Mus musculus: one gene and its partner. Each later gene encodes a partner of the first gene's protein in a complex. Links are inferred from orthologs where the notes say so. Each region holds a gene or a part of one and is shown in the gene's direction. Other genes may lie near its edges.

Region 1 (16,081 bases):
TTTTTATAAAAATTCTAAACTAACGCAGCTGGAGAGGTACGACAATGTTTATGAGTGCTTGCTGGTTTTCCAGAGAATCTGAGTTTGGTTCCCACCACCACCATCAAGCGTCTAATGAATTCCAGTTGCCGAGGACCCGGAACCCTCTTCTGCCCTCCATGTGCACACGCATGGCACATACTCACACGGACACAGAAATAAAATCTAAAAGAAAAAATATCTAAGCCAAGTGACTAGGGAAATGTTTTTAATAGATGCACTTGAATACTGGACACCCCCTTGCAAAAAATGATTTTGGATTTCATGCTTCGCATAGCATACAAAAATAATTCAAAGTGAAATCAAAGACATAATTGTAAAGTGCTAAAACTACATACAAGTGAAGGGACTCTAGCCAGCCTAAGCTTGGCAAACATAACCCCAGCAGTCCTTGCCTTTCTCCCTCTGACTTGCTAAAAAGCAAGCAAGCAAAAAACCCTGCTAAATTACAGTCCTAAACTAGCCACCAGGGCCTATCTTACCTTTGGCCACTTCCTCTTCCAAAGACAGACTACCAAGGCCCAGCTATCAAAGTCTTGCAATCAAAGGCCCCTTTGGTTCACCTAATTAACCTGCCTAATTAAAATCAAACACCTCAACCTAACATGGGATTTGCCTGTTATAAATCACCAATGCCCTCTCCTCTCTATCCAGAGGCAGTCCCTCAGGCCAAATATTCCTTCCTGCCTCTCCCCTCTTCCTTTTCTCTTCTGCCTTGTCCTCTACTTCCTGTCATTTTTTTCTTATCCCCCTGCCCTTTGTCCCTGTGGGGTAAATAAATATTTGTGCTGAGATATTGGTCTTGGGGTGCCCTGAGCCACCACCATTTCTAACAAGAAGTAGGGAAAAAAAAAAAAAACATTGTAAATCTTTGATCTTGGAATGGTAATAATTTTGAGAAATTACAAGCACAAGCCAAAACAAAAACCTAAAGCAGATAAAACAGTTAATACACACACACACACACACACACACAGGTTTATTCTGGAAAAGACACCACCAAAAATACCAACTCACAGAAATTTAAATCCATGTATTGAAAAGACTTGACTTCAATGATGGAAAGAGCACAACTCCAAACTAAAAAGAAAATGAGCCAACTGAAAATGGGAAAAGATCTGAAAATAGCCTCCTCAGAAGATATAGAAATGTCCAACATGTAAATGAAACATAACAACAGCTTTAGCTACTGAGGAAATGCAAAGCAAAATCTCAATGAAATATACTTTATAGATCACATGGCTACAGTCAAAACTATATTTTACACCTTTTATTATGTTATTAGTGGTCTACAAGCACATATGCCTGTGCACCAGGCATGTGCCTGATGCCCATAGAGACCCTAGGAGGGTTTTGTTGCATCACTTGGGACTGGAGTTCTAGAGGGCTGTGAACTGCCGTGGGTGGGGCTGGGAACTGAACTTAAGCCCTCTAATAGAGCAGTTAGTACTTGTAACTGCTAAGCCATGTCTCCAGACTCCTCAAGAACACATAATAACAAGTGTAGAGGTAATGAGAATTTGGAACACTTGTGTCTAATAGAAATGGTAAAAGGTGCAGATATTTTTGTAAACAATCTGGTGGCTCCTCAAAGGGAGTTACTTACCATTTGTGTCCAGGTTTATCCCTAAGCACAAATGTAGAGAAATGAAAACAGCCATATGCAAAAGTTCTGCACACAAATATTCCTAGCAGTAGTATACATAATAGACAAAGGTGGAAGCAACTCACACGTCATCAACTGACAGGGAAGGACATGAGTTCGATCCAGAAAGTACAAAGTTATTGGGTAACAAAAACAAATTAAGTGTTAATAAGTGCTATACTGTGGATGAAAATATCAAAGACATGTTTGAAAGATGCTGTTCAGGAAAGACAAATCTACAGATGCAACACTGGGAGTGGTAGTTAAAGAGTAGAAAGATATATATTCACATATTCTACATCCACATATACGTGTATTTATATTTTATTTACAAGACAGAGCTTACATGTTGCTTTCGTCAGCCTGGAACTCTCTATGTAGATCAGGCTGGCATTACGTTCATTCCTGCCTTAGTCTTCTGGTGCTGGGATGACAGGTGTAAGCTATCATGGCAGGCCTCAAAGTACCTTCATGAGATGATGAAAATACTCTAAAGTTGTGGTGATGATTGCATGATCCTGAATATCCTTAGTAAGCTATTAAGTTAGATACCTTAAATGTGAGAATATGCTATGAGTTAAGCTGTTTTTTTTAAAAAAAATACTATATAATTGTACGTAAGGATGCTTGGACAACATCTACCAATTAATTACCTGTCAGCTCATTTGTGAAACTGGTCCCCTTCATATCCTTCCTAGTTTCTGTCTCTAAAAGGCCCCAGCCTTACAAAGCCTACTTGCTTAGACCATGCCAAATCTGACTCCATTTAATGTCATTTGTCTCTATAGCAACCAACTAGAAAAAGCTGCTTTGTTTAGCAATGACTTTGTACAAGCAGTGGTCTAGCCTAGAGATGTTTTAAAGATCTGAGTTCTGTATTCATCACTTCGCTCCCCACCTCCTACTAACAGGTAAAGAGGAAAACCTCTGATGAATGGGAGAGGCAAAGAAATGTAAAAACGAAAGAAGACATGTTGCAAGGAAGACTGAGCTAAAGAGGTTAGAAGGACCTGCTTTCAAAGGAGGAGGAACGCTTAAGAAATCAGAACTAGGAAACACAGAATAATTTTTAGACATTTCCATGAATGTACTGGTTAAAACACTTCAATAACAATAAGACATTTCAACATTCACATAACTATGCTGGGTCAGCAAGCAGAATTGTAGTGATCTGACGGGCATTTCTCAGTAGTTCAGCTACACATAGGTATTAGATATATAGCTGGCATCTTTAACAAAATTTTAATGGACTGGTAGATTGGAATGGACATCAAAACTGTAAAGCATTCATTAATGCTATGGAGCACACGATGAGGAAAATGTACACTGTAACACATGGAAGCCTTAGGGAATCTAAAGGTCTGGCCAGTGGGCTCACTGGGCAAAGGGCTGGCCAGGCAAGCCTGACCACCTAAAAGTGGTCTCCAGGACCCAGGCTGGACAGGGAGAGGAGCCCTTTCTGGTTGTCCTCTTACACGTGCTGAATTTTATGTATACACACACACTTAAAAAATATAATTACCTTTAAGTGAAACTCATGAAAAGACAGGGGATGGGCTTTTTAATTTGGCATCAGTTCTAAAATATCTAAGGATTCAGGGTAGGATGAGCGGCTCTATCCTTCCCCCACTTTCAGGGCTGTCTGTCTGTCTGAAAGGCCTCCATGGGGAGATTCTGGCTTTGCTCTGGCTGGATCAAGCCCCATCTCTGGCACCGCCTTGGCCATCCACGTTCACAGTTTTGTTCTTTAGGGATTCATTAATGAAGTCATTAACACAGTGCTGGCTGGCCTATGCTTATCCCCCAAGGAAATTTTATGTCTCTAGTTTTCTATACATAAGGAATACTTTATATGTTACCTGCTATGGTGAAGACAGAGTTGTAACTATGACAACAGTGAATGTAACCAGTTCCTAAGTAGCAGCCCTCAGTTGCTATGCTGGGTGGTAATGCCTTACCCTTCTAACCATTCTAGTGTATTGTGTTGCTATTTAAACGTTCTTTACAAAGAGTAAAGACAATTTCTTTTGCTCATTTTAATGTCGCTGGTTAAAATGGAGCTTAAATCCTTCTCTTTCAGTTGTACTTTTGATCATATAAGCTACCTTTGCTACTGGGCCACAAGCTCTTTATACACTTTATCTATTTTATCTTTATGTTAGCACTCAGCACAGAGATTTAACATAATAGATGCTTTCTGTATATATGCAACAAATTAAAATCACTAAGATTTCAGTTAGAAATATCTGGAAAAATCACTCCAGCAAATCTGCACATTTGACAGTTTTATAGGGAAAATAATGTTTAAAACAAGTCACCAAGTTTTGATGTTCTGTTAGTGTAAAAAAGGGGGGGACTTTATGCTAATAAAGATCACAGTTCAGTGTGCCTGGCTTGGGATGTAACTTGCCTACCTAATATGTGAGAACCTGGATTCAATTCTTAACACTGCAAAACAAAAACAAACAGAAAACAGCAAAAGCAACACCAGCAAACAGAAAAGCAACACTTTTGCCCAGTTTTGTTTCTAAAGACGGGAGTAATAATACAAATGACCTTCCTAGACAACACAGTGACTGTGTAAAATAATATGAGAAAAGTGCAACAGGAGCAAGCTTAGGGGTCTGGGAATGGCTCAGAGGGAGAAGGCCCCCCCCCTCTCTCTCTCTCTCTCTCTCTCTCTCAGCCAGCCTGGGTTCCACCCCCAGCACCCACAAACAGGAGGAAGAAGGCCTACTACACCAGAGCATCCTCTGACCTCCATTCCATGCTGTGGACTTTGTAAAAGTTACTCCACTGTTTCTATGTTACCTTTTGTGGCAGGCAGGACTGAGACTCCATTTCACTCCCAGCTCCCGGGAAATTTTCCCCAGCCCATTTAAATTCTACTGAATTTAACTTGTGTTTTCATTGGTCTCTGTGAAACCTCAATTTAAGTAAATGTTTCAGTCCTAGAAGCCCACTGCAGAGGATTTTCGGATCCATGGAAACACACTGCTTGTCTACTCCAATAACAACCAACATAGATGACTGTCAGCAGATTCTTGCACTGGAGAATGGCTGTGCATAGCATCCCCCATCCTCACAGCATCCTCCCCACTGCATCTCATGGCTCATAAGGCACGTGATAACTCAGGAATATGAGGATAAAACATGCTTAAATACTCAACAACTTTAATTTGCTATGAGAGAAAAAACATACTTTGTGTGTTTTCTAGAGCTAACAAAATATCATTGACAAGTTTAAATAGAAATTTATTCCCTCACCATACTGGACCCTAGACCTTACAGGGCTGCTAGCTTTGCCTTGTTTCCTCAGAGCCAGTCCCTTGGCTTGTGAATGGCCTTCTTGTCCTTTCCTTGAGATGATAAAGCTTCAATATATGAATTTGATGTGAACACAATTTAGCCTGTAACAACAGCCCTTGGCAGTTCATTCATGGTTTTCATTTTTAAAAATCTAACAAATCAAATTCAGGTAGTACCCAAAGTAGAAAGTAGTGATTTGAGGTCTCTGATCCTTCTGTGGAGCCTCTCCGTTTTGACCCATTAGTTATAGTATGGTTTTCTGCTGGGGAGTCACCTAGACATTGTTCTGACTGAGTCAGCGTGGTATACATCATCGTTCCTAAAGCTGTCAGTTTACTTAGAAACATGGTACAGTGCTTCTAAGGGGTTTTTGGGGAGGAAGGGGTAGGTTTCCAAAAATATTGTTCATGGTGAAAAAATTATTGGACCAAGTTTTTTCTTAAAATTTTTTGATGAGCAGTAATAACATAGAGGGGCAAGATGAGAGTGCTGGAGATAGCGCTTGGAAAATGGGAAGATCCCTCCTCCAAATACTGTTATATACGGCACTTAAAAAAAAAAAACAAGAGACAAAAAACAAACAAACAAGCAATCCCTGATACATACATGCTTGTGTGTGTGTGTGTGTGTGTATGTACATCCACTAGAAATGAGTCTTCTATAGTTTATAACACACTTCTGGTCTAACAGCAAGAAGCATGTAAAAAGCACATAAGAGCACATTGATAAGTCAGTTGGAATCTCCAGGGTGCCTGCCATAACTGCATATTACAACCTCACTGCTTCCTTTATCTTGGCTAACATCATGTAAAACTAGGGTTAATAAGAGCTACGTGTATTATTTACCAGCCATGGTCATCTTGCCTACTACCACAGTGTGACTTTTACTCTGATGCACAAAAACAATGGTGACTGAACTGATGGACACCGATTGCCCAGCGTACTGACAATAAAAGTGGCTCTCTCCCCACTTTAATCTCCTTAAACATGGAAGGCCCTGCTTCATGATAACTAAAGGTCTTCGGACAAGGACAGATCATCCACAGCAATCCAGTTGAGTCTCAACCTGTCCAAGGAAGATTAATTAAATTCTGCACACTAGCAGAAACTTCACTTGCAGATTAATACTAAGACATAATTTTCACTCCGGATTTTATTGAATAGTTTAGTAGTTTCATTTATAAGGAAAAAGAAAAGAACCCAATGGTTTATGAGTAACACCTCCACAGTAAAAAGAATCAGTTCACATTCACAAAGGTGTTAGGTTTCCGTTTCCTGTTTCCTAGTCTACCCACAGTGGCTAAGTACCATAAACAAGCAACTTTTCCTCCAGTCAGCCTTGAAATGGTCTCACAGGCGTCACAGGCATGGAAGGTCTCCTCAGAATTGGTGTGCTGCACTTTTTCACTTATGAATGTTTGTTATAAATGCCTTGAAGAGCAAATGGCATGTTATCTGTGCTTTCTCCTTTCTCATATTCCACCAAAAATACATTTGTTGTCCTTTGGCCTTCAGACACTTCCATTTTCTCGACTTTTGACTTCTTTCTCTGTGCCCCCCCAACAACAGAAGCCTCGCTGTAACTGATCACGTTTTCCCCCTTTTATTTCTTTTTTTTTGTTTTGTTTTACATCTTTTCAGTTATTAAATGGGAAGAAATCCAACATGCAGCTGAAGATCGCATATTTTTTTTCTAGCCTGCGTGTGTGTGTGTAAAATCACCCCGCCCTCATTTTGTATCTATTTCACCGCACTGTCGTGGCCAAGAACTTGAATTCCAAAATGGCTTGCTCCTTTCGAGCTGACATGGGCTATAAAAATGCAATTTATTCCCACTGCAACCAGCCCTTCTCCCTATTCTCTACCATTACGATTGCGAGAAGCACAGACAGCTAGTTGGGCCTGACAAGGGCTGCAAAGCACACCTTATCTGCTAAATCCAGCAGAGCCAGCAAAGCCGCCGGCACTGGTGGGGGAAGCGTTAAAGGCTGGAAGAAAACCCGAAAAACCCCAAGGCCCATGCTGCGCACACACACGGGGCCGCCTCGCGCCCTCCTGCTTCCACCGCCGGCCCCGCCCACCCCACGGGTCCCGCCCCCTCCGTCCCGCCGCGGCCACGCCCGACGTGTGGCGCGGCCCCGCCGGGCGGGGGCGGGGCCTGCGTCGCCCCTCCCCCGCCGCCGGCGGCCTCCGCGCGGGCCTCCCAGCCCCTATTCCACTCACTTTGTTCTGCGCCTTTGTCCTGGTCCGCACCAGCAGGTGGAGCCGCAGTGAAAGTTTCCCGTCCGTTCTGCGAGCGGGAGCCCATCTTGCTCGCCGCCGCGGCCCTCGCTGGAGGAGGAGGGTCAGAGCTCGGGGGCAGCCAATCGCGGGCAACGCTGCTAGTTATCAGGGCAGAATGGGCTGTAGTTTAGTGAAATAGGAAAGCTGCAAAACACCGTGGAGTGCCGCCGTGTAAATAAAAAGGAAAAAAAAGTTTCTCAAGTCGCAGCTGCACGACGTCGGGCCGCGCCGCGCCGGGGCGGGGGTCTGCGCTCTCGGAGCGGCCGCGCGCGGGACTCGGTGGTGCCGCCAGCCCCGGCCCCATTGTTTGTGTTTTCTTCAAAATATGGCAAAGGTTCAGGTGAACAATGTAGTGGTGCTGGATAACCCGTCGCCTTTCTACAACCCGTTCCAGTTCGAGATCACCTTCGAGTGCATCGAGGACCTGTCTGAAGGTGAGCGAGTGGCGCCGGGCTGTCAGTTGCGGCGGCGGACGTTAAAGTTTCCCGGCCCGGCCTCGCGCGGGGTGGGCCGCGGCCGGCGGCCGGCGGGAGGGCGGCCATGCGAGGGAAACTTGAAGTTGAGGGACGCCGGCCGCGCCGCAACTTGCGAGCAACTTGCCGGGCGGAGGGAGCCATGTTGTCAGCTTTGTCTGCGGCGGGCGGCGCTCGGCGGCCCCCGGCTCGCGCGGCGCTGGCGGGGGGTCGTGCGGCCTCGGCGGCCCCAGGGCCCCACGGCCCGGTGGGGAGCAAGCTGGGCCGGTGGGAAGCGGAGCCATCTTACCCGGCGGCACGACGCCTGCTCCGGACCGCCGGGGGCGAGCGGGCCCGCGCCTTCCCGCCCGAGCCCCGCCGAGGCTGTCCTCGCGCCGCTCTCCGGCTCCCTCCACCAACCAGCGCGGAAGGCGGGCGCTGGGCTCGGCCCCTCGGCGCCTGGCTCCCGGGGGGCGGCCGTGCTCTCCGCGGGCGCCCGGGATGCTGTGCGCCGCCTCTCCCCGGGGACAGAGACCTCTCGGAGAGAAATGGTGAGGGGCTGGGAAGTTCCATGGCACCCTAGAGCAGAAGCAGGGTGCTTAACCAATTCCAGGCACTTCTCTGGCGTTTAGAAAGTCTGAAAGACTTTCTCCAGAACGTGTGAAGAAGAAGCAATTAAAATAACTCCACGTCCAAGCAGATGGAGAAAATGCAAACGTTAGCTGGGAGATAGAAGGCAAAATCCTTTCTGAAGTACATTTTACGGTTTAAAAAATGCGAAATAGTGAGGTAATACAGAACTTAGAAAGCTAAAATATGGCTTCTTAACGCTTTTCTTAGATTTTATTAAAATCAATGCTTCATTTTCAACATTTGAAACAAAAAGTTTAACTTCATTGGTGTTAAATTTTAGTTAACTAGGAGGACATCTTGGGACTTGAAAGTATTTCGACAAAATGCCTTGTATTATCCTAATCATGACGAAAAGAATTTCTCTTTTAATTTAAAAGTTTATAATCTCTTCAATGTACTTCATGTAGAATGTTAACTTTAATTATAAAAACCATTGCAATAAACCTTTAAAAATTGTAAAAAGGAAGTCACAGCCCCTTCTCTTCACTCCTTTGGCTAACCATCACTTAAAACGTACCCTGCTGTTTTTAATACGTATGTAAATTATAACGTGCATACATTTAGTGAGTGGGACATATTTTGAAGATTGACTAAACATTAAAATATAGTAGTCTCTGAATAGACTGTGATGATTAATGTAAGTGTAAGGGTGTTTTCCATTTGAAATGTAACAGCATTTCCACATCAGACCTATTTCCAACCCCAACACTGATTTTAATTTTCTTTTTCAAACTGCCAATTTATATACAAATGATCAAATATAAAGTAAGATCATGGCTGAGTCCATCCTAACTCAGTGCAGTGTTCGAGGCATTAGAAGTTCTTTACACTACAGGTGTTTCTCATATGATGGCTTCCATTTTAGGTCCACATTGTATGAGGAAGATAGGCTCTAGGATATTGTTACAGAGTCATTACACTGGATAGTTCGAAACCAGCCACCCACAGAAACCAAACAGGGTTCCATGTTAAACAGGGATCCTTTCACAACAGTGTTATTACTCAAGTCAAGAATATGCCTTCCTCTAGTACAATTCAAAACCAGCGCACCATTATTTTAAGGTATTTTAAGCTGAGTCATTCCAAAGCTGCAGAGGAACCCTTGACAAAGGTGCCATTCCTGTCTACTCCATCTAGAGGCTCTGTGGAGCAAGGAGATGGGCGTTGATTTACCCTGCAGAAGCTCGTTTCTAGGGCCCATACTTTTGTTGTACTGTGACTTGTTAAGTTACTGATCAACGTAGAAATTCCTCTACAGGTAATTTTGAGTTTATGATTTGTGTCTACCTCCAACGTACCAATTAGCCTCCTTATTGTCAGGAATCCACTTGGTAGAAGGAGAGAACTGACTCCAACCAGTTGTCCTCTGACCTCCACATCAGTACCCATATATACAGAAACACACTTAAACATTTTTAAAGAGACTTTAAGTAGGGGCTTTATTATGCTTGATCACTAAGCCTATACGTTTAATTGGCCCTCCTTCAGTTTCTAAGGCTTAATACTTGCAGTGCATCAAAATTGACCCTGTGGCTTTATACTTTGAAAGTTCAGGCCTGTTCTGATTGCAAAGACTGTATATTTTCTACTAGACCACAGATTTTCCCAACAATGTAATTAACTTAAAATTTCCTTGGTAGTATCCCTTCCACCACATATGGAGATATTTTCTGGCTGGGATTACCATGAGTAAATGGAAAAGTTAACTTTTAAAATAAATGGATAATTTTCAGATTGAAACTCTTGTAGAGCCACAGCCCTTCACCATAACTCATAGAATACAGAGGCATAGAAAAGAGAAACCGGCTTCTAAACACATTGATAAATAAGCATGGCATCGCACTCAGACTCAACCTGTGCCCGTCCCTTGTTCTTAGTAAGGCTGGATTAACCCACTCTCCATTACCTGTCCTTATCCACTCTCTTCTATACTCTTGAAACCTATTACTTGAAAGCTAGAAAGAGCAAGGCTTAAAAGCCATGATTTTTGAGTAGCAGCAACCCATCTTTAACTGAATTTTAGATTACTTACCTTCGCCCAGTCTCAGCTTTCTTGTTTTTATTAGTGTGCACACACAAACACAAAATATATATGTGCTTGAATAATTCTAACTGTATGATAAAATGTTTACTTTAGATAAGTCAGTAGCTTTCATATACCCTCTCCTTAGCTGTGTCTTCATTTGGCTTTTGGGTCACTTCCTTCATTGGGTGCTAGCTTTCTAAACGACTTTAATGATTCATCCTCTTCCTGGCTTGCCTTCCAACTTTAGTGTTGAGGAAGGCTCATTTCACTCCTTGGTTCCATTCCTATCCTTGTCATTATGGTTTATTGCCAAAGTTCAATTTTTAAAAATTTGACCTTTTTGTGTTTATAATTAAACACCTAATAGGCATCTTAGACACGTATAAAACTAACTCCTGATTATTTTGTTCTTTACACAGACCCTCTCCCCCCAAAGTGGCTACTGCTGCTTCTATTTCCAAACTTTATCTAGGATGTGAATGCTTTACACCAGCCCTATGGCCACCATAACTCACTCACACCATCATGCTTTCTGTACTGAATAGTTGAAACAATCTCTTGTTCTCCTGCCCTCATACAGCTTACACAAGCACAGTAAGTAAAATTATCCTTAAAGATAAAAGGAGGATTCCTGTACTTCTCTGCTCAAAACCTTCAGGGCAGTGTTTCTCAACTTGTGGGTTATGACTCCCAGAAGACTACACATCTGAAAAACACAGATGTTTATGTTACAGTTCATTTGCTACATAACAATAGCAAAATTGTAGTTATGAAGTAGAAACAAAATAACTCTATGGTTGGATAGTCACCACACCTTGAGGAACTTTTACAGGGTCACAGCTGGGGCTGTAGCTTGGTGATTAAAGTGGGTGCCTAGAATGTGTGAAAGTTCTGGGTTTGATGCCCAGCACAACAACAAAATGGTGCTGCTGAGTGTTAAGCCAGAATCCTTAATGGTGGTCATCAGGCCTGGTATGATGTGAGTGTGTTGCTCCCCACCCCAGCCTCAGGATTGGGTAGCTTCTCTCTGTTCCAAAATCCCAGCTTCTTGGCTTATTCTTGAACACACCAAGCAGGTTTTTTACATTTGTGGCTGTTTTTGCTGGTCTTTCTAGTCAGAAAATATTATAGTTTCTTCCTAGATCCAACAGCAAATAAGTGACCTGATGAGATCCCAGGTGTAGAACCCTGAATCTGAAATGTACTGAAAGCTGAAAATACAAATAGCCTTAGTCTATGATGGAGCCAGGACATAATAGTAACTACTGGCTTTTAAAACATTACAAATAAACAGGGAAGTTGCAATTTAACAAGTTTGATTTTACACGTATAGTATAAGGAGTGCCGGTACTCTTACAGATCTAGGAGATACCTACACAGCTACACAGGAAGGATTTGTGCACGTTCTCCAGAGTGAACTAGAGATTCAGCCCCTTGGGAGTGCTTAGTATAGTCTTTCTATAACGAAGCTAAGCATAGATCACACTATAGGAGATTGTCTGTCATCGTCTTCCTATGTTTAAAGAGCAGATTCCTACATTCCTTCAAAGAGCAATGGTTTTAATCTTCTCAGTTCTCCATAGAGTTTTCTAAAAGGGTACTTAATGAAATCTAGGTTGAATTACAAGGCAAGTCTTAGGTTGTGCTTGAGTGTATCATGTCCTTGCCTGTTTGCTATGTAAGTACTCTGCTATAAGAAGAGGTATAGGAGCTTGGTTTCCTCTAGTTTTAAGAATGTATGGCAGAAAGGAATACCAGGCAGGAAGAGCACCACTGTGTCTGGTTGGGATCCAGTTGGCATGGTGTTTAATACAGTGGTAAGTACACAGTTAGTCTGTTAGTTAGTAAGAGTGGTCAGGTAACAGATTGACACATTTATGTCAGGAGATGAGCTGAAACTTCTGAACCACAAGGAAGGTTTGCTAATGATTTTTCCACTTTAGATTCTGGGATGATTTCTGTTTCATAGAGCAGCTTTTTTACAGGGGTGAAGTTAAAAATGGAGCTCAAAAAGAGGCTGGGGGATTGCATAGTCCGTGAGCCTGGGCGATGGGATTATCGCTCCCAGTGTTCTTTCCTAAAGGAGGTCTCTGAGAACTTCGCTTTATGAGTACCTATAGCAAACATTTAATGTTTCCCCAATTTTTGTTCATGTTTTACTTGTGAGGAACACTCCAGGGACCAGTGCTTTATGAAACATTTGGAGAAGTTATTGGGATGAAATATGAATTCTGGTGAGAAATATATAAGTAATATTTCTATATCTCTCTGGTAAGAAGCCATTTAGCAGTTAAGTGGTCAACAAAAGGGACTTTATTATGTTAATATATAATTGCTGCTATGAAATAATGATTTTCGTTCTTTTACCCTAGACTTGGAGTGGAAAATAATCTATGTGGGCTCTGCAGAAAGTGAAGAATACGATCAAGTTTTAGACTCTGTTTTAGTGGGTCCCGTTCCTGCAGGAAGGCATATGTTTGTGTTTCAGGTAAGATTAATCTTCAGATAAATATGACAAGGATGTTTCTAATAGACTAAACTACCTCAGAGCCCTACCCTTTCTGTGTTAACTAATTGCTTTATCTATTCTCACTTTTAGTCTGCTGTCATTTCAGGCAGTGTCTATCATAAAGGATTTATATTTACGATTATATGCAGGGATATTGAGTTTACTTTCAGGAACTAGACAGACTACAAGTATACTGTGCATACAAGGTTGGGTTTGTCCTATGGACTGTCTCTCAAGATGAAAGCATCCCCAAACATGTATTCAAATGCTGGTCAGTAACATGCATGCATCTGCTGATATGATAGCAACAACCTCACTTTAGTATAGTAACTGCAACATTAGCAGATAGAGACATGTGACTTGAGCCATTGGAATGACGGTCTAATACTTCATCAAAGCTTCTTATCTAGGTTTTTATAGAGGACCACTGTGACAAATCCATTACCCTGTTAGAACTTGTGAGTTGAAATACTCATAGTATAAATTATGTTCTCAGATACCTCTGACAGTGTTTAGGTCTGTGCCCAAGCTTTAGACATTATCTTCTGTCAAAGAGTGTTATTTCTCCTGCTTTATTAAGTTGCTATATAAAACTAGTGACTTTTTTCAATTATCCATGCTTCTTAAGGGAGATATTTATAATACTGCAGGGAGTAATGAGCTAGCTTTTAAAGAACCATTAATCTTTGTTAGAGGTATTTCTGCTTAACCAAATCTCACTGCAGGCATAATCCAGGAGAAAAATCTACTTCTTCCTGTGCTTGGCCTCTCTTACTCCCTTCACACCCAGGACAATTTCAATGCATAGTTTCTTTGAAATAATCCCATTAGAATGGGTGAAGATTTGCTTAAGAGAACATTGTTAGAGATGCTGCCTTTTAAATACAGAACTGAATCTGGGCCTGAGTGTTTTCTAGCAGGAAACCCCAAATTATTTAGTATATATAAACAAATGGCTAAGAAAGGCTCAGCTATAGTAATTTAAAGGCTTCAATACTTTAATTAAAAGTGCCATCAAACTGAGTTGTGTGTGTGCGTAACCTTGTGAAAGCCGTAGCAACACAGACTGCCTAAGGAAGTCCCGCAGTCTCAGGCAGCCTGATGCCTCTGCTCACTAAGATCCAGGACCCCACTAATGACCTACCGCATATGAGTATTATGAGGAATAAGGCAATCAGCAAATTACTGACAAAACTAGCTATATCTATAATTAATTAAACTATTAATTTATTCTCATTATGTAAAGAGCCAGGATTCCCTTGCACCCAAAATCCTGGGGACTACATACTGCACTGGTAATTCATGATGTAGTAAAAGAAGGTCAGCTTAATGTGTAGCCATATATAGACACTTTGTATTGCTGTAAAATGTTGTACATCATGGTTTTAAAGTGAGCCTTTTTGACTTGCAATGCTGTGAGGTAAATATCATAGAAGTATGCAGCTTTTTGTTGCTATCAGTGTAAATGTTACCAAAAAGAACAGAGAAAGCACTGTGATTTAGGTCATGTGTTAGACTGTGAAGTTTTCAAAGTCTGACAGTTACTAACAAAATGAAACTAAGGCAGTTTTTGTTTTGTGTTATGAGCAAAGTGTCTTATTTTTCTGGTCTGCCATTTTGCGTAGTATAATCAAATATGACTGACTGCCTTAGGAATGGGTCTAAGACTAGCAGAGATGTCCAGACACCTGCCCAGTACTGATTGGATTGGGTCAACAAAAGTAATCCCCATCACTTTTCCAGCCTTAATAACCTGAGAGCTATGCACGTTTCTTCACCCAAATTTGCTCAATTAAATCCTTTGGCAAACAACATTTTTAACATAGATGAACTTCCTACTAGTTCACTGGGTGGTAGCAACTGAACTCCTCCATCCTCACCCATTTCTGGGTATATGAGTGTCCCTGAAAGTCACCCTGCGATGTTGATTTGTAGGACATACTGTATATACTACAGCAGGGTCTATGTCCCCACACTTGGTCCACAGGGATCATATACCCTCATCAGGACAGGAAGTGAGTAATGAGAAATTTCTAAAATAATAAATTCTTATAGCTGCATTTAGATTAAGACATAGATTAGGAAATTTGTGTCAAATGACAAACACATAAAAAGGGAAACTGCTACCTTGTGAATCAGAAAGGACTTTGTTTGGAAAGTCGGTTTGATGAAGATGTCAAGACATTGAAGCACAGAGACTTGAAAGATTTCCAGCTCATCTTACAGAACTTATGCTTCACACACACACACACACACACACACACACGAGAATTACAAAGCTGTAACGAGCCTAAGGAACTAAAAAGCATCTAAGGTTTAAAACCTGCCAAAGGGCTAGAAATGGATGATGTTTAGATGGCAGCGATATAAACAGCAGGCTGGAAACCGAGAGGAGTAAGAAATGGAAGTTAGCAGCGTTCTGCTTAACAGATGAAGGAACACCCAACCTTTAGACATGAGATGTTGAGAGTGACAAGGGAAGAGAATAAGAAAAGCTGAAGGTGACTGATAGTCTTGGTTGATTTTTATGGCTTTTAGTGTCAGCTATGTGCTATATATACAATAAACATGTCTTAAAAGTTTCCAAGCTAAAAGCATTTACTGAAGTGTTCATATGCAAAGGATATGATGCTAGAATTTATTTTGTTTGCTATGCAGAGTTATGCTTCAGGTTGTACTTGCATGCCTCAGTCATCACTGTCTGTCTGTCTGTCTCAGAAGTCTTGCTGATGAGGACTGTGGACACAACCCTAGCCTTTTCTGGCATTTTTAATGTCTTCTAGTTTTGTTGTTTCACTTTCTTAATTCCTTTAGGTTCATTATGATTTAAACCATGGTCCTTGGTGTAATCTACTGAAACAGTCTTTTGACTGCACTGAATATCCACAATGTATATGGCTCAAATACAATAGGATTTTCATTTTTTTTTCAAACTTTGCTGTAGAGTTTTTCAGATCCATTGTCATTTGTATTCACTGTTTATTTATATGTACTTCTTAGTTGCTGGTGCTGGGATTGAACTGAGCTACGTTGCTGACCTCTGCTGTCAGTTTAGAGGGGTTACTACTGAAGAACTTACGTGTCTTGGATAGAAGAGGGAACTAATAGAATAAACACTTACTAGAATAGACTATGAAACTTAATTTGGTACATAGTAATTTGGGACTGAAAATTAGGACTGTAAA
Region 2 (15,851 bases), on another chromosome or scaffold:
GAAGACCTAAGTATAACTAGCTAGGGCAGGTAGAAGCACATCAGGAGTCCGTGCCTCTGCACAGGAAGCGTCAGTCCAGCAGTGTCCGAGGGGAAGAAACTCAGGCCTGAGCTCTTGTTTATAGCTGCCTTTGAAACAGAAAATTGAGGATAGGAAATAGAATGGGATTTTAGGTGATTTTGCCTAATTTGTTAATCTTCTACTCAAAAAGTATATAGCAAAATTGTTTGATATTTTTATTTAAAACTTCCTAACCTTGGAGAGTCATTGCGCAGACATTCAAATATAAGAAGCTTGTTGCCAGGAAACCATTACCTGGGTATATTTGGTTTGTGTGTTTATTTAGTGAATCTACACCTTTCTTTCCACTCATTCCTAGTATCTTCCCTGAATTTTACATTTTTTAAAATTAATGTTTTTACCTCTTATTTTTAACAATACACCCTAATGTGTGTTTTCATCAGCATAGGATAATCCAATTACCTTTATTTAGTCAAACCTTGCTATTTTCGTTTGAGCAACAGTTCTTATTCTTAACTCCTATATTTTTATCTCAAAAATGAAAGAAATGTCTATCTAGAGCTATTTTGGGCAAAAGTATCTGGAGAGGGACAGAGTGGGACAATGGCTTTCAAAGGTACAAGCACCTTTCCCCTGACTGCACTTCCTCCTCTCAGGAGCCTGCGGAGGAGACAGCTTCCCTGGGTTCTTTCTAGTGTCAGCCTTCAGGGTGATCTAGGAAAGAATAACACTTCGGAATGTGGCTTATACTTTTAGAGATTTAGAAAGAAAATATGTTACTAAGGCTTACAATCAGATTTTGTATTTTATACATTTAGCCAATAAGGAATGAATATCTGGGAAATAAATTTAGACTAAATAGTTTTCTTTCAATGTTTTTATTACCTGGTTCTTGTGTTGTTTAATGCTTGGGCTTCTTAGCCTGACTTCCACATTTATAAGAAGACGTAAGTATAACTAGCTAGGGCAGGTAGGAAGCACATGAGGAGTCCGTGCCTCTGCACAGGAAGCGTCAGTCCAGCACAGTCCAAGGGGAAGAAACTCAGGCCTGAATTCTTGTTTATAGCTGCTGTTGACATCTAAATTTCAGTTTATAAAGCTGTAAGGATGATCATATTCGTTCTAATCTTACTCTCTTACTAGCAGAAATCAGGCAAATTAAAGACACCAGACTTTTTAAGTGGACTATTTGATGCTCTGTGGGTGTATAAAAATCTTATTGAGGTCAGGGAAATTGATCTGCCTGCTGTTGAAATCTGCCTTCTAACAAACATCTACTTTTTGACTTTGTATTGCTGCCAAACCTGTAACTGTTGAATTTCAGGAGTGGGGTGGAAAAGGAAACGTGTTTCTTCACTAAGTGAGCATGTTCCAGGGGTGCATCCCAGCTGCCCAGGCACTAAACTAACTTAGCTTGTTCTGTGTTGAGCGTTTTCAAACTTGGGACACTACACTGAGACATAAGGTCTCCCATGAGAAATGGGGCATAGTGTGGAATCTTAATTTCTGTCCAGGTTCAGGCACTTGAGAGCAGTGCAGTAGGTAAGGCGCATTTGTTGTTTATCTATTACAGCTGTAATACTGGAGACTGATCCTTATGTATTATATTGTATAACAGTTACTGCAGTACTGCTTGCATGTCTTTCATGGTAAATTATATAAATATTTATAAATATAGAAGAGACATATGCTTATATAAATCCATTTTTTTCTCATTCTGCATTTGTAATTTCAAGATTATAGATGATAAAATTCCTTTTCTATTGTGTGCTTCATGTACACTTGGGCATTGCCTGTCTTCATTTTCTGAACACATGTTCTTGGCATGTGGTCCCTAAGAGTAGTCCTGCCTTCCGGGTGCACACTGAAGCAGCTGGCACTTGTTACCAAGCCAAGGTGTAAGGTACTTAATTTTCACTTAAAAAGTATTTTAATAGGGGAAAATTTTAACAAGATATGCTTGTAATACAGGCTCAAAGATTACTCATGTTAGCCACATAGTTCTGTCCATATGGTTAGAGTGGATAGATGGGCATTATAATTATGCAGCTGACATCAACTGTTTTTTAAAACATTTCCTGAAAGTTGCCTCTTCCATGTCACTTTTTTGAAGGGAAGTGGGGATGGGATGTAGGGTAACTAAAATTCTTTCTGTTACATTAGCTAAATGATGCTAAAAGTAGCCGGCTTTCTTGCTGTCCTCTCTAGTCAAACATGTGCTAATAGTAACTGGGAAAGCTAACAGGGCCCAGCCTTTTTCTTTGTGAATTTCTCTGCTGGCAGTCATGCTGACAGAGATGCTTTCTGTCTGTCTTTCAGTGTGTTGCCTCCTTTTCTGCATGCCGTTCACAAACTCATCAAAATCCAGAGACAAAACGCCTCATTATGTGAGAATGTTTTATTTTGTATGTAGGGAAAAGAACCAACCAAAGATGTTTCTGCTCTGAAGAAAAGGAAATGGACTAATTAATTATATCGTATGTATCAGTAGTTACATTTATTATTAAGTGCTGTCCTGATACAGAGATGAAAAAGTAGAACCTGGTGTGATGGCACACACTTTGATCCTAGCACTCTGGAGGAAGGGGCAAGTGGATTTCTGAGTTTGAGGCCAGCCTGGTCTACAGAGTGAGTTCCAGCACAGCTAGGGCCACACAGAGAAACCCTGTCTTAAAAAAACAAACAAAAGATTAAAAAACATAGTTTGTGCTTTTACATGTTACATTTCTTTCAGGTTAAAAATAAAAATTGGCAGTCTTAAGCCAGCTCTTCACTCAGGAGTATGATCTAGAGAATCAAGCTTTCGGTTTGGTTTGGGTTTTCAGTTCTTTGAGGTTTTTATTGATGGCATATTTCATATTTCAGTCACAAATCATCCAAATAAGGTAAAGAACATGACTGTAGCCATAATAGAAGTAGGGTGTGACAGAAATTATCTTTTGGGAGACAAGTACCTCCTGGCTTCTATCTACACAGGTTACTAACTCAGGCCTGTCCTGTGCTTATTTCAGTGGAGCAAAGAATGAACACTTAGTTCCTAATTTTAGGTAATGTTGCCCCCAAATTATACTACTGACCCGTAGGCTTTGTGAATTGCTTGAAATATTAAAATCATACCTCGTAATCTTGCACATCCTAAAGATATCTTGACTTTAATGGATAGTGAAAACAGGAGGGAATTGTATCCTATCTGATTCAGCATTAAGATAGAGATCTTAAAACATCTAGGCAAGCTGGGCGTGGTGGCGCACGCCTTTAATCCCAGCACTCTAGAGGCAGAGGCAGGTGGATTTCTGAGTTAGAGGCCAGCCTGGTCTACAAAGTGAGTTCCAGGACAGCCAGGGTTATACAGAGAAACCCTGGCTACAAAAACAAAAACACAAACAAACAAAACACCAAAAAACAAAAAAAATCTAGGCTCTTCTCTCCAGCTCTGCACACAGGCTGGCCTTGCAAACAGGAGCACAGCCACTTTTAGTTCTTTAGTTGCATGCTTTGCAATGAATATCTTTGGTAAAAGTTGCAACAAGTTAATCAAGGCCTAAAAAAAAAAGTAACAAACGGTCAAAGAGTCCTTGACGTCATTATCCACTGCACATTATTTGCTCCAGCCCACTGAAGCACTGTATGCTGATGCGGTGTTTCATTTTACTCCTGGACACTGCGGGAACTTGAGGGGCTGCAGCAAGTACCAGACTCCCTCTCAGTCACAGAGTCTTAGGCTTCTGTTTCTGTGATTGCATCCATTGTACAAAAGCAAAGGTGTACATTGCTGCATGTTTTATAAACCTAGACTGCATAGCTAGCTAAGTAATGAGATTTTCTACACCCAATAATAACCTTGACAAACAGGTGCCTTTTCCTCAAGGGCAGAAAATTTTACATTTCTAATCTAACATTAGGAATTGGTGATAGGAGAAACAGGATCCACAATTTAGTGGCTTTAGGAAAAAGATGCATCTTGAAAATGTTATCTTAAAATATACTTATAGATAATCTAGATTTAGCCTTGGAGATCAAATTTTCTCATATTTTAAAACTTGTTAGCTAGGTGTGATGGCTAATGTTTCTAACCAATACTTGAGGGACTGAGGTGGAAAGATGGAAGAGAGTCTGAAGCCAACCTCTGCTTCATAGTGATTGCAAGTCCACCTGGGCTGTAGTGTGGGATCCTCTCCCAAAAAACAAAAACAAAAACATTATTTTTTTAATTATTTTTTTAAGTTTTCATACATGTATGTATATATTATATGTTGAGTACACAGCTCTCATTTGTGTATAATTACTTCTGTCATGTTCATGGTTTGCATTCACTGTTTTACATTGTGCCTATTTATGGCTTTGGAATGTTGTTTCTGGGGGGAGGTCATCTAGCACCTCTGTCACTGACGTAATAGGACATTTGTAACCAACACCTCTGTCACTGAGGTAATAGGACATTTGTAACCAACTGTACTGCTTAAATTTCTTGAATTTGGTTCTATAGACAACATATTTGCAGAATAGCTTTTTATGTTTTAATCCAAATGCATTATAAGATTACAGCATGTGACGACTCTGATGGTCCTTACATGCCAACAACACTTAGAGTCCCAACTCAGAAGCCACAGTGATGCATATTAGACCTTAACTCATAGAAGAAAACTAGAGGCAGTTCCACAACCCAGTCAGTGGGAGGTGTCTGGTAAACATGCCCCACTTCCTATCCTCACCAAAACTTTACAAAACTCGAGTGTGCACTCTGAGAATGTGTAAGTAAAGTAGAAAGTCCTCATATTATTGGGTATTTGCCTTATTTTGGCCATTTCTCCAGAAATTTTACACAATCTTGGAGCCTTAAGGATCTTGTTATGCAGCATTGCTTTCCATAACTGCAGGAAGTGGGAAATTCCTAGGTAACTCCCAAGTATGGAACAAAAAGAACCCCTATTCACTTAGAGGAAAATATGGGTAAAATATATATGTTTTCAGGTAAGTTCTTCCTCTTGGGAGAGGATTTGCATCAGAAAATTAGTGACAAATTCATCTCTTGGTTTCACAATATCTCAAGATGCTAAATAGCAAAGATTTACTGAGTCATGATTTCAGTATTTGCTCCTATATAAGTACTAATAAACATGACAGCTAAGGCAAGTTCAAGGTGATGAGATGATTTCCTATACTGGGCTCAATCCTTGGTTTTAAGGAGCCCTTAACAAAAGTCCTTTCATTGCCCTTAAAATGTAACAAGTTTCTGCCTTCTCTAATTGGAGGTGATAGTATCTACACTGTAGGCTCAAGGTGATGCTGACCACATCTCCTGGTACCTTCAACTAGAATTTCTAGACCAACAACAGTATGAATGACGCAGATCTCTGAGACTAATAGAATTACAGAATTTGCTAATAACGTTATTTTACATTAACAGTGGGATTTATCTCTTGATAATTTAAAATTATTTTGTACTGTATACATGATTATTCACCTAAACCAAGTTTTTATGTAGACTATTCTTGCCATATGATACTTTTTAAAACTCCCATAAAACATAATTGAAAACATCAAAAATTCACTTGTATCAAAGTTGGAATGTGCCAGGTGTTTTTTGCTCACTTACAGTAGTAAACAAGGCTATACAGAGTTTGGGCTGTGATTTATTATTTTAGGGAGTTTGCTGAGAAGAAACCTTAAGACTTTATTCAAAACAGTTTGGTTTGGTTTGATTTTTTGAGATGGGGGTTTTTTCAGTGTAGCCCTGAGCTGGAACTTGCTCTGTAGATTAGGCTGGCCTTAAACTCCAGACCTACCTACCTCTGCCTCCAGAGTGCTGAGATAAAAAGGTGTGAGCCACCATGCCTGGCTAAAAACAGTTTTATTAAACTATAAATCAATGAAATTAGTTCTCTAAGATAATTAAGAAATTAAAATATAGGAAATAGATCTTCTTTTTAAGACAAAGGAAATGTAGCACTGGGCCACTCAGGACTTTGAAATTGGATTGGATTTCCTAGATTTTGGTGGTATATGCCTATAATCTCAACATTGAAGAGGTAAGGGCAGGAACAGGAGTTGAAGGTCATACATAATGAGCTGAATAATGAGTTCGAAGCTAACTTAGGCTCTATGAGACCCTGTCTCAAAATAGGGGGGAGGGGAAAGGCAGAAACAAAATCTTAGGTAAGAGAGATTGGATTGTTGGATTGGATGAGTAGACAGATCTGATGGCCTGGGCTCGAGCCACTTTGCTGTTCCCTGATGCACAGTTCTCATTCTCCTTTGACACCTTTCCTAAATGGCATCTATTTAATCAGATCATTTATTTACAGATTCCAAGTTTTTCAGAAAAGGAGGCACATCTCATTTTGTATTAGATATAATGAGTTCATAAATTATTACTGGCAAATGTTATCAAACTTAGTCATAACCCGAATTCTCTTACTGAACAAGAGAAATAAGTCAATGTTCTGCTGTCCTCCTCTTAATGAGATGCGAAATTGCTCTTTGAAGTTCTTTTCAATGTGTTACATTGTATCCTTTCTCCTTCAAGCATCTTCCCTTTATGTGTTTTTGCTCAGGCAACCATGGGCATAGAGTATTGAAAAACATGCAGTGCTTTTGTATAGGCCATCTGTACATAAAAGTGTAATTATTTATTTAATTTTCTCATTTGTACCATATTAAAGCTTTGTACAGTGTTTTAAGTTCTGTTTTAAAATTATTTTGTATTTTATTTTTATAATCTAGTAATAAAACATTCAGTCCGCATGCAAACTTTAGTGCTATTTGTGTGATGGTTTGGATTTCAAAAAGTGAAAACTATTTCCTAAACTACTAAAGTGTTACAGAAGTGACAGACAACCAAGAGAAGGCCATTTTGGCTAACTTAGACGCTAGGTGAACACCAGGGTTCAGGGGTCTGACGTGCGTGTTCAAGCTGACTTTGATATTCTTCTGTCTCTGCCTGCCAAGCACTGGGATTGCAAGCATCCACTAAATCCAGCACAGAATTAAGTTTTCAAAACTCCCTTTTCTTCTCCTTGGCAGTATGCTAGAGGGATTCCTGCTCCATCTACTGCCTATCACCAAGTGGTCTTCCTTTGAATGAGAGGAACACAGGGCCAATACACTGCTACTTTGTTTTGGAGGAAACTATAGATCCTATATCTTGATTTTTTTTTCTTTCCTTTTACTAAGGAGTATCATCCGAAAGCCTATTATATTTTTCAAAATAAGGGACCTGACAGGAAGTGTAGCCAGAGGGTTAACCAGCCAGTGTGTGTGGAGGAGGGTCGGGGGAGTGTGTCTAGGAATGCCATACTCTTCCAGAAGCTAATCATGAATCCTGACCTCTCAAGTAAAAGAAGTTGAGATATTCCCCTGCTGTAAACTCTTTAATACAATACGTAAGGGATTCAATACAAGTCTGATGGACATTTGATGATTTTATAACATGCCTCAGCATGAACTCTGTCCTCAATTGTCAGTTGATGAAAAAGTTGGCCAATGGTAAAGAGTCAGCCTTTTGAGTAAAAGAGGGGAAGGGGTGGGGAGCTAAGTAGGCCGGGCGCACCCCTTTAATCCCAGCACTCCGGAAGCAAAGGCAAGATAATCTATGAGGTCGAAGTCAGCCTGGTCTACAGAGTGGCCAGGCTATACAGAGAAATCATGTCTCAGAAAAAACAAAAAGGTCAAAACACAAGGTTACTCACTTTATTTTGGTTGAGGAGGGAGTGACTCAAAAAGCTCTACAGTCATGGTCTAAGGCTGTGCTTATGACAGGTGTCTGGTCTCATAGGCTGGTCTCTTAGAGTTGGTCACTTTTCCTGTCTGGTCCCTCTTTCAGACCCGGGTCTCCTCAGGCAGTTCATCTTATCACATTGCTCCAGGGGCCAGGAAATCAGAGAAAGGCGCCTCGCCGCCCTGCAGGCCTGGCTGGCTGGGCAGATCTTCCCGGGCCGCCAGAGCCCCACCCCTCAAGGACCCGCCCCGTCGTCCAACGGTCGATCCCGGTCGCCGGCTCCGCCCCTCCCGGCTGCCCGTGGCGCGAGTGCGCCTGCTCAGTAGCCTCAGAGCGCCTGCACAGGGATGGCGGCCGTTTTAGAGTCGCTGCTGCGCGAAGAGGTGCCGGTCGCAGCCGCCGTGCGGTGGATCGCGCGCAGCACCCCGAGTTCGGAGGTAACAGTGCGGACACGCCCTCAAGCCTGCCTGGAATGTGCTTCCCGCGGGGGATGATGCTTCAGTCCCTTCTCCCAGCCTGCCCTGCCTGACGGCCCGCGCCAAGGGCGCTCGCTCCTCTGCGCGCCGCTGCCGGGCCGCCCACCCTGCGGCCTCAGCCGCTGACGGCCCGCGCTGTCAGCTGACGCTCTCGCCCCGCGACCTCTGCTTCTTCCTCAGGATAGCTCCGAGGTGGCCGCTCTGAGCGCACTTCGGCCTCTGCGGAAGGAATTCGTGCCGTTCCTGCTGAACTTCCTGAGGGAGCAGAGCAGCCGGGTCCTCCCGCAGGGCCCCTCAACCCCCGCCAAGACCCCAGTCGCCTCGGCAGCCTTGCCAGCGAGGCAGGGGGCCCCGGCACGGGGTGGCCGTGGGGCGCGCAGCCAGCTTTTCCCTGCAGCCGAGCCCCTCAGCGCCGCCGCCGAGGCACCTCTGGCCCGCCGTGCGGGCCGCAGGCGGGGTCCGGGACCGGGGCCGTCCCGCGAACGAGGCGGTCGGGGCTCCGGGGCCGCGGAGGAGGGGGCGAGTGGCGAGAGCCCGCCTTGGGCCGGAGGCCGGAAGCCTAAGGGCTCAGGCAGCCCTGGCAGCCCCAGACTGTCGCTCTCTGATCCGCCAAACCTCAGCAACTTGGAGGAGTTCCCTCCCGTAGGCACCGTTCCTCCGGGCTCTGCAGGGTGAGAATCGGTCCTTATTGCAAGATGTTCGCTAAAGCCGAGCTTGGTGCCCCACAGTAGAGTGCGCGATGGTTAGAAGGTTGAGGGTGAAGAAACCACAATGGGGGAGGGTTTAAAAGGGGCCCAACTGTTATGGATGGAATGATGCTTGAAGATAGAAAATTGGAAAAAAACAAAAAACTGTGACTACTCTCAGCAGAACGAAGCCTTCTCGAAGGATCAACCCAACTCCGGTGAGCGAAGAGCGGTCACTGTCCAAGCCCAAGACCTGCTTCACCTCACCCCCAATCAGCTGTGTCCCCAGTTCCCAACCCTCAACCCTGGACACTAGCCCTTGGGGCCTTGGCCTTCCCCCAGGGTGCAGAAGTCTGCAAGAGGAGCGGGAGATGCTCAGGAAGGCGCGGTATGGCTTTGCCGCCACCTGGGATGTCAACTTCCTCCTTATGCGGGACTTGCAGGGATTTTTCCTGAACTTGATTTCTCCCTTCGGGATTCTGGGTTTGCTTCTTGGGCTGTTGATGTCTTCTCTGGCAGAACCTGAATGTGAATGTCGCTGGTAAAGCCAGGCTGATTAATCATGACATCTCCTCCTGTTCACATAGCACCAAGCAACTCCAGCAGTCACCTACCCCAGCCTCTCCCATCCCAGAATCGGGGTCTCCGGTTCCCAGCAGGACAGGAAACCTCACCGCAGAGCCTGCCGACCCGGCCAGAGTGTCTTCTCGACAGCGCCTGGAGCTGGTAGCCCTTATCTACTCCTCCTGCATTGCTGGTGAGTGAGCGCAAAGGGGGCTGCGGTGGATATGCTTGCAAACTACAGAGTAAGAGAGTAGAGGAGGCGCAGAGCCTTGGCCTGCTTGTCAGTGGTACGATGGTATGGCATTTCTCTTTATAAACAGAGAACCTAGTACCAAACCTTTTCTTGGAGCTTTTCTTCGTCCTTCAGCTCCTTACTGCTCGGAGAATGGTGGCCACCAAGGACAGTGACCTGGAATCAAGTCAGGGTGCCCTAGGTCAGTAAGCAAGTCTCACTTTGAGAAATGATGTTTGCAGGTGGGACAGTTCTTAACTAACGGTTTGTTGTTGACCTAGATTCCCTGGACACTCCCCTGTTTCGTAGCATCCATGATTGCGTCTTCTTTGCAGTGCAAGTTTTGGAGCATCAGTTTCAGTGAGTTTTCTAGCTGTGACATTTGAGTCTTATATGTCTGTTTCTAGCCGTGTGGGATGTGCATGCCTTTGCTTAATAGATACAGTTGCCCTAGACCTTACCTGTAACCTTTTGTTGAGGGGGAGGAGATTGTGGTTGGTTTGGTTTTTTTGTTTTGTTTTGTTTGGTTTAGTTTTTGAGTCAGGGTGATACTATGTAGCCCTTGCTGGCCTTGAATCCCCTAAGCAGAACAAGCTGGCCTTAAACCTGCATAGATTTTCCAGCCTGTGCGTCTCAAGTTCTGGAAATGAGGGCATGCACTACAACTCCTGGCCCATCTGTATCATTTGATTTTGTATCAAGGCTGAGTTTATCCTCTAAAAAAATAAATAGCTGGGTTTGGTGCTAAGCAAGGATTGCAAGTTTAAAGACCTGCCCAGGCTGCAGAAAATTGAAGGCCAGCCTTTGAAAAATATTAAGCTGTAGTCCCAAATAATATATACAAAAGAGTCTAAGTATATAGATCACTGGAGTGCTTGCTCATAATATAGAGAGCCCTGTATGCCACAAGAAAAAAAAATAGGGACAACAAACACATGGCAGCTGACCTTAATGTTCATGGCTAATATTCTATCCTACTGTCTTGCTCTCAGCTTCATGAAGTCTCATGTCTTCCTTCACCTTTTACCTTCATCGTCTTGATTGTTAGCCATGGCCTTGCCATACATACCTAGGCTTAAACACCTGTCTAATGCCTCAGATGTACTTTCTATCTGCAGCCTGTGTGCCGGTCTCAGTCATGTGTGCCCTCTCTTTGCAGGGTTCTCTCCTACCTGGATAAAGGGACCTTAAAGCTGCTGGCTGAGAATGAGCGGCTGCTGTGCTTCTCACCTGCTCTGCAGGGCCGCCTTCGGGCTGCTTATGAAGGCAGTGTTGCCAAGGTAGTTACCCTCGCTAGGTAGCCTCACTGAGTAGCCTAGATGGTCTGCAGATTCAGACAGTTTCCATGGTGCTGTCAGGTGGGCAGACTCTGGGCAGGAATAAGGAGTAAAGTCTTGTAAACGTGATCCAACAGGTCTTGTTTCCTAATGTTGTTGCCATGTTTTAGGTCTCCCTCGTGATACCACCCTCTGCTCAGGCTGTCTCCTTCCAGCCAGAAACTGACAATCGTGCCAACTTCTCCAGTGATCGAGCCTTTCATACTTTTAAAAAACAGAGGTGAAAAGAAAAGGGCCCTGATGAGGAGGGCATAAACAATCTCTCCTTTCCTCGAATTAGCAGCTAGGCACTGAAAGGGGTGGGTGACTGCTCTTCAGACCCTTTGCTGGCAGTCATCATAAAGCCTGTTGGCTTCATTCTGTTTCATGTCCACAGACCTGAATCCCTGAGCTTAGCCGACCATCTTAGGGTCAGCTTTCCCTGTCCACAGATGCCTGTGATGTGCTGCTGCTGGGTCTGTAACATTACCATCGTGTAGAGAGCTATGGGGTTAAAGACTGGCACTGTGGGCAGGCTTATCTTAAACCTTCCAAGCAAGGGAAAGTGCTCTGGGAAGTGGATGTAAGCAACTGGGAGGCAACTGATGAAGCTTCCATATCTTCCAGGGATGTGTTCTATGAGGTACTTCGAGAGTGGGAAGATCATCACGAGGAACCCAGCTGGGATTTTGAGAAGGGCTTGGGTAGCAGGATCAGGTGGGTGCTCCGTCCTTGCTCTGACAGTAAGCAGCAACCCAGGAATATTTAGGGTGTTGGTTGGCAAGGGTTTCCCTCCTTCACCCATCTCTTCCTCCGTCTCTAGTTATTGGTAACTCGACCTACCTAGAACAAAAGGGATTTCCTTTCTAGCTTCTCAATCCCAGGGATGCCATGCACTTGTTCTGTAAAGGCAGAAGCTTGGGAAAGGACAGAGCTCATAGATGAAACAAGTATCCTGTCCTTACTCCCTTACGTTGATAATGACGTTCACTGACAATGAGCATGGCCTGAAGATCTGAGAGGGCATTTCTGGGTGGGTTAAGTCTGTCTATCTAGTCTGGAGAAATCTTGGTGGTGAAGGAAATGAATGTTTCTTACCTTCTCCTGGGTGGGCTTTCTGGCAAAGAGTTTGTTCACCTCTTTGGTAAATAGCCGGAATGCATCCCTTGTCTCCTTTCTACACTGTGTCTCTTTCTCCTCAGAGCCATGATGGGTCAACTTTCAGCAGCCTGCAGCCACAGCCACTTTGTCCGCCTTTTCCAAAAACAGCTTCTCCAGGTAAGAACTGCAGTGGTAGCCAAAAGATGTGGGCAGATAAATAAAGGTTGGCACTCTGGATCAGATAGACAACCTAGTTGATTCTGGCTACAAAATTTAAAAGAACGCCTTCTCTTTGGGAGATAGTTCAAATTTGGCGGGCATGTGTTCTCTGACTTCTCTGGCCTGCCCTGGACTCCATACCCTTCTGTAGCCTCTCACCACCATCCCTTCCTTGACTTGGCTACGGTACAAAGAGAGCTTAGTAGTCAGGGTATCCTCAAACCCTTGTTCTAGTGACCTGAGGCAAACAGTGCTTGCCTTGCAGTTTTTATCTCCTCATCTGCCAAATTAGAAGACAAACCCTCTGGAGTGCTCATTGCTTTTTTTCAGACCCAGGGTCTTGCTCATACTGGGCAGGTGTTCTCCACCAAGCTATATATCCCAAGCCTACTTTCTCAGTATTTTGTTAGTTTTTCTCTTACGGGTTTTTCATCTCTCTCCTCCCTTCGGACATCTCAGATGTGTCAGAGCCCTGGCGGTGCTGGGGGATCTGTTCTGGGTGAAGCTCCAGATGTATTGAATATGCTAGGAGCTGACAAACTAGGACGGTTGCGGCAGCTCCAAGAACGGCTGATAGCCCCTCAGAGCAGTGGAGGGCCCTGCCCACCCCCCACATTCCCAGGCTGTCAAGGCTTCTTCAGGGATTTCATCATGAGTGCCAGCAGGTAAGGAACTCCTGTATCTCACAGGGAGAGAGACAGAGGCCAAGAAAGATTTGCTCTCCCCAATGGGCAAGCCATTTTCTTTTGCCTGAGCCTCAGGTTTGGATATGTCTGGTTCCTCCCATTTAGAGTTCCTCTTTTGTCTCATTCTTTTGCCCACATAGGTAATGTCATCGTCCTTTAGCTTCATCCTTCTTAGGAATCGTTATATGGGGCATCTCCTCTAAACGCTGGTTCTTTTTTTTACCAATTTCAGTGCCTTTTTTGTTTTGTCTTTTGCTTTTTTCCACTCAAGCTTCCATTTTAATCAGCACCTCATGGATAGTTTAAGTTTAAAGATTCGGGAGCTCAATGGCCTTCGCCTGCCTCAGCACGAGCCTGGTGATGAAGATGGGGAGTCAGACATGGACTGGCAGGTCAGAAAACAGAATGAGTGGGTAATGGGGTCTGATGTAGGAGGGAAAGGATGTGTGTGTTCCAGAAGACTTATGCAAAGAACATTGTTTCCCTTGATTCCTCATGCAGGGTGAACGGAGGCAATTTGCTGTAGTGCTTCTTAGTCTTAGACTTTTGGCTAAATTTCTGGGCTTTGTGGCTTTCCTGCCATACCGGGGACATGAACCACCCCCGACCCGTGAGCTTCAGGACTCTATTCTGGCCCTCAGGAGCCAGGTGAGCATGTGGAAGATCTGGGTAAGGAAGAGCCGTGTAGACCAGAGAAATGTGGAGGATGGCTGGTTTCCTTGGCTAGTCTAGTACCCTGGCAGGTCAGAGGGTGTTAGCCAGCCTCTTTTAAGAGCCTGCTCACTGACAGAATCCTGGCTTTCCCAGGTCCCTCCTGTTCTGGATATACGGGCTTTGCTGCAGCAGGGATTGTGGGCCCGTCGGGCAGTGCTCACTGTGCCCTGGCTGGTAGAATTCCTCTCTTTTGCTGACCACATTGTCCCCTTGCTGGACTATTACCGGAGTGTCTTTACTCTCCTGCTGCGCTTACATCGGTGAGTAGAACTTGACTTATTTGCATAGCCTTGCTATTTATAAAGTGGGCCTAGAAGTCTGTGCTTCTGTGTGGTTCCACAGCTATGGCAGCCTCAGGAGAGGCAGAATTGTGACAATTGTCTTTCATTCCCATGATCCATCCTCCCATTTATCTTATGGTCTAGTCAAGAAGAATATAAAGTGCAAGTCTCACTAGGATCCTGTTGGTCTTCTCAACAGTAGTGTGATTTAGGTCTGCTTTTGAGAACTCCCTTCCTAGTAATAGCTTTTATTTACTGCCTTCTGTCCTTGGTAGACAAAGTCTGCTCACGGCCTCCGTTTACCTTTTAGGAGTTTGGTCTTATCAAAGGAGAATGAAGGAGAGATGTGCTTCCTGAATAAGCTGCTGCTGCTTGCTGTCCTGGGCTGGCTTTTCCAGGTAGGAGGATGGATGGCTGCCATGGCAGACTACAGAGCTTTAGAGTCTGAGAACAGAAGAGGGAGGTTCTGAGAGGGATGGGTATTGCTATGGCTTCAGAAGAAACTTGCTTGACCCGGGACCCTAACAGATTTAGAAACCATGGCAAATCTTAGAGTGCCAGTAGTGTTCTCACTACCTTCCTCTCTTACCAGATACCTACAGTTCCTGAGGACTTATTCTTTCTAGAAGATGGTCAGGTAGATGCCTTTGAGGTGACTACAACTGCTTCAGAGCATGGTTTGGTGAGTGTCACACCAGATAAATGAGCTGAATAGATAAGGACCCAGCAAGAGACCAGCTAGGGAAGACTTAAGACGGTCCATCTTCTAGACTTCTATTTCTGCACATTCGGGAGGGAAGGGAGACTGCCTGCCTTCCCCATCCAGCATTGGTCTGTTCTCCCCCAGGACAGTGTACCTGTTGTGGACCAGCAGCTGTTATATACCTGTTGCCCCTACATTGGTAAGCATCTCTTTCTCCCCTTATGGCCCATGGCCTGGTCCATGGCCTGGCCTGTCATGGATACCCAAAAGGACCTCACTCCTCAGCATACTGTTCTGTCTTTAGGCTCTCTGGTTACTTCATCGTCTTTGCCCCACAAAGGCCATGATGTTTGGGGGAGGAAGGGGAGATAATTTTGGAATTAAGAACTTCAACTCCTCTACAGGAGAGCTCCGGAAACTGCTTGCTTCCTGGGTTTCAGGAAGCAGTGGGCGGAGTGGAGGCTTTGTGAGGAAAATCACTCCCACTACCACCAGCAGCCTGGGAGCCCTGCCTCTCCAGACCAGCCAGGGGCTGCAGGTGAGGGCAAAGGACCAGGAAACAGGGGGGCAGCTCGGGAGGGAGGCAGAAGGAAGCCCTCATGGTACGACTACACCTGCCTCCACCTCCTGCCAGGCTCAACTTGCTGAGGCCTTTTTCCACAACCAGCCACCCTCCCTGCGCAGGACTGTAGAATTTGTGGCAGAAAGAATTGGATCAAACTGTGTCAAACACATCAAGTAAGAGTGGAGTAAGAACCCTAGTCTCAGCCCCCTTCATTTTTTTCCCTTTAAACTTTAACCTGTTGCCAAACTAAGCAAAGTCACCTAGAGGGAGTGGGTGGGGGGCAGGGAGGCTGAAATTTCTTCTATCCTTTGAAGGACATTCTGACCAAATGTCCTTCCATTTGCAGCCCTTTCCTCGTAACTCTCCTAACCACCCCAAACCTTGTTCTCCCTGCTACAGGGCGACACTGGTAGCAGATTTGGTGCATCAAGCAGAGTCACTTCTTCAGGAGCAGCTGGTGGCACGGGGACAGGAAGGGGGAGATCCAGCACAGCTTTTGGAATCCTTGTGTTCTCAACTCTGCCCCCATGGGGCCCAAGCATTGACCCAGGGGCGGGAGTAAGAACTGTT

Evidence for each region.
Region 2: the proteins of Asf1a (region 1) and Cdan1 are in contact, whole or in part, in a cryo-EM structure (PDB 9CVC), measured with the Homo sapiens proteins. The link is inferred for Mus musculus from reciprocal best matches to the Homo sapiens genes ASF1A and CDAN1. Residues at the interface, in NP_054753.1 of Homo sapiens: Gln5, Val6, Asn7, Asn8, Val9, Val10, Val11, Leu12, Asp13, Pro15, Asn20, Pro21, Phe28, Asp37, Val45, Ser47, Ala48, Glu49, Ser50, Glu51, Glu52, Asp54, Asp58, Ser59, Val60, Leu61, Val62, Gly63, Pro64, Val65; in NP_612486.2 of Homo sapiens: Arg195, Arg196, Ile197, Asn198, Thr200, Val202, Lys390, Leu391, His470, Glu471, Glu472, Pro473, Gly474, Trp475, Asp476, Lys538, Arg541, Arg544, Leu545, Gln546, Arg548, Leu549, Met550, Ala551, Pro552, Gln553, Ser554, Ser555, Arg806, Lys807.

What each region holds. Positions count from the first base shown.
Region 1 is NC_000076.6:53,589,589-53,605,669, forward strand, and holds the start of Asf1a (histone chaperone ASF1A), read left to right. Parts: upstream 1-7,372; 5' UTR 7,373-7,601; coding exon 7,602-7,710; exon of another isoform or gene 7,711-11,085; coding exon of another isoform or gene 11,086-11,093; intron 11,094-12,759; coding exon 12,760-12,875; intron 12,876-16,081. UniProt on the Homo sapiens protein: Histone chaperone that facilitates histone deposition and histone exchange and removal during nucleosome assembly and disassembly.
Region 2 is NC_000068.7:120,723,736-120,739,586, reverse strand, and holds the start of Cdan1 (codanin-1), read left to right. Parts: upstream 1-8,069; 5' UTR 8,070-8,085; coding exon 8,086-8,175; intron 8,176-8,394; coding exon 8,395-8,885; intron 8,886-9,081; coding exon 9,082-9,288; intron 9,289-9,487; coding exon 9,488-9,657; intron 9,658-9,784; coding exon 9,785-9,898; intron 9,899-9,977; coding exon 9,978-10,056; intron 10,057-10,553; exon of another isoform or gene 10,554-10,855; coding exon 10,856-10,976; exon of another isoform or gene 10,977-11,143; coding exon 11,144-11,253; exon of another isoform or gene 11,254-11,639; coding exon 11,640-11,729; exon of another isoform or gene 11,730-11,855; intron 11,856-12,110; exon of another isoform or gene 12,111-12,214; coding exon 12,215-12,290; exon of another isoform or gene 12,291-12,297; intron 12,298-12,791; coding exon 12,792-12,997; intron 12,998-13,289; coding exon 13,290-13,410; intron 13,411-13,519; coding exon 13,520-13,666; intron 13,667-13,825; coding exon 13,826-13,992; intron 13,993-14,323; coding exon 14,324-14,411; intron 14,412-14,605; coding exon 14,606-14,695; intron 14,696-14,860; coding exon 14,861-14,915; intron 14,916-15,120; and 6 more. UniProt on the Homo sapiens protein: May act as a negative regulator of ASF1 in chromatin assembly.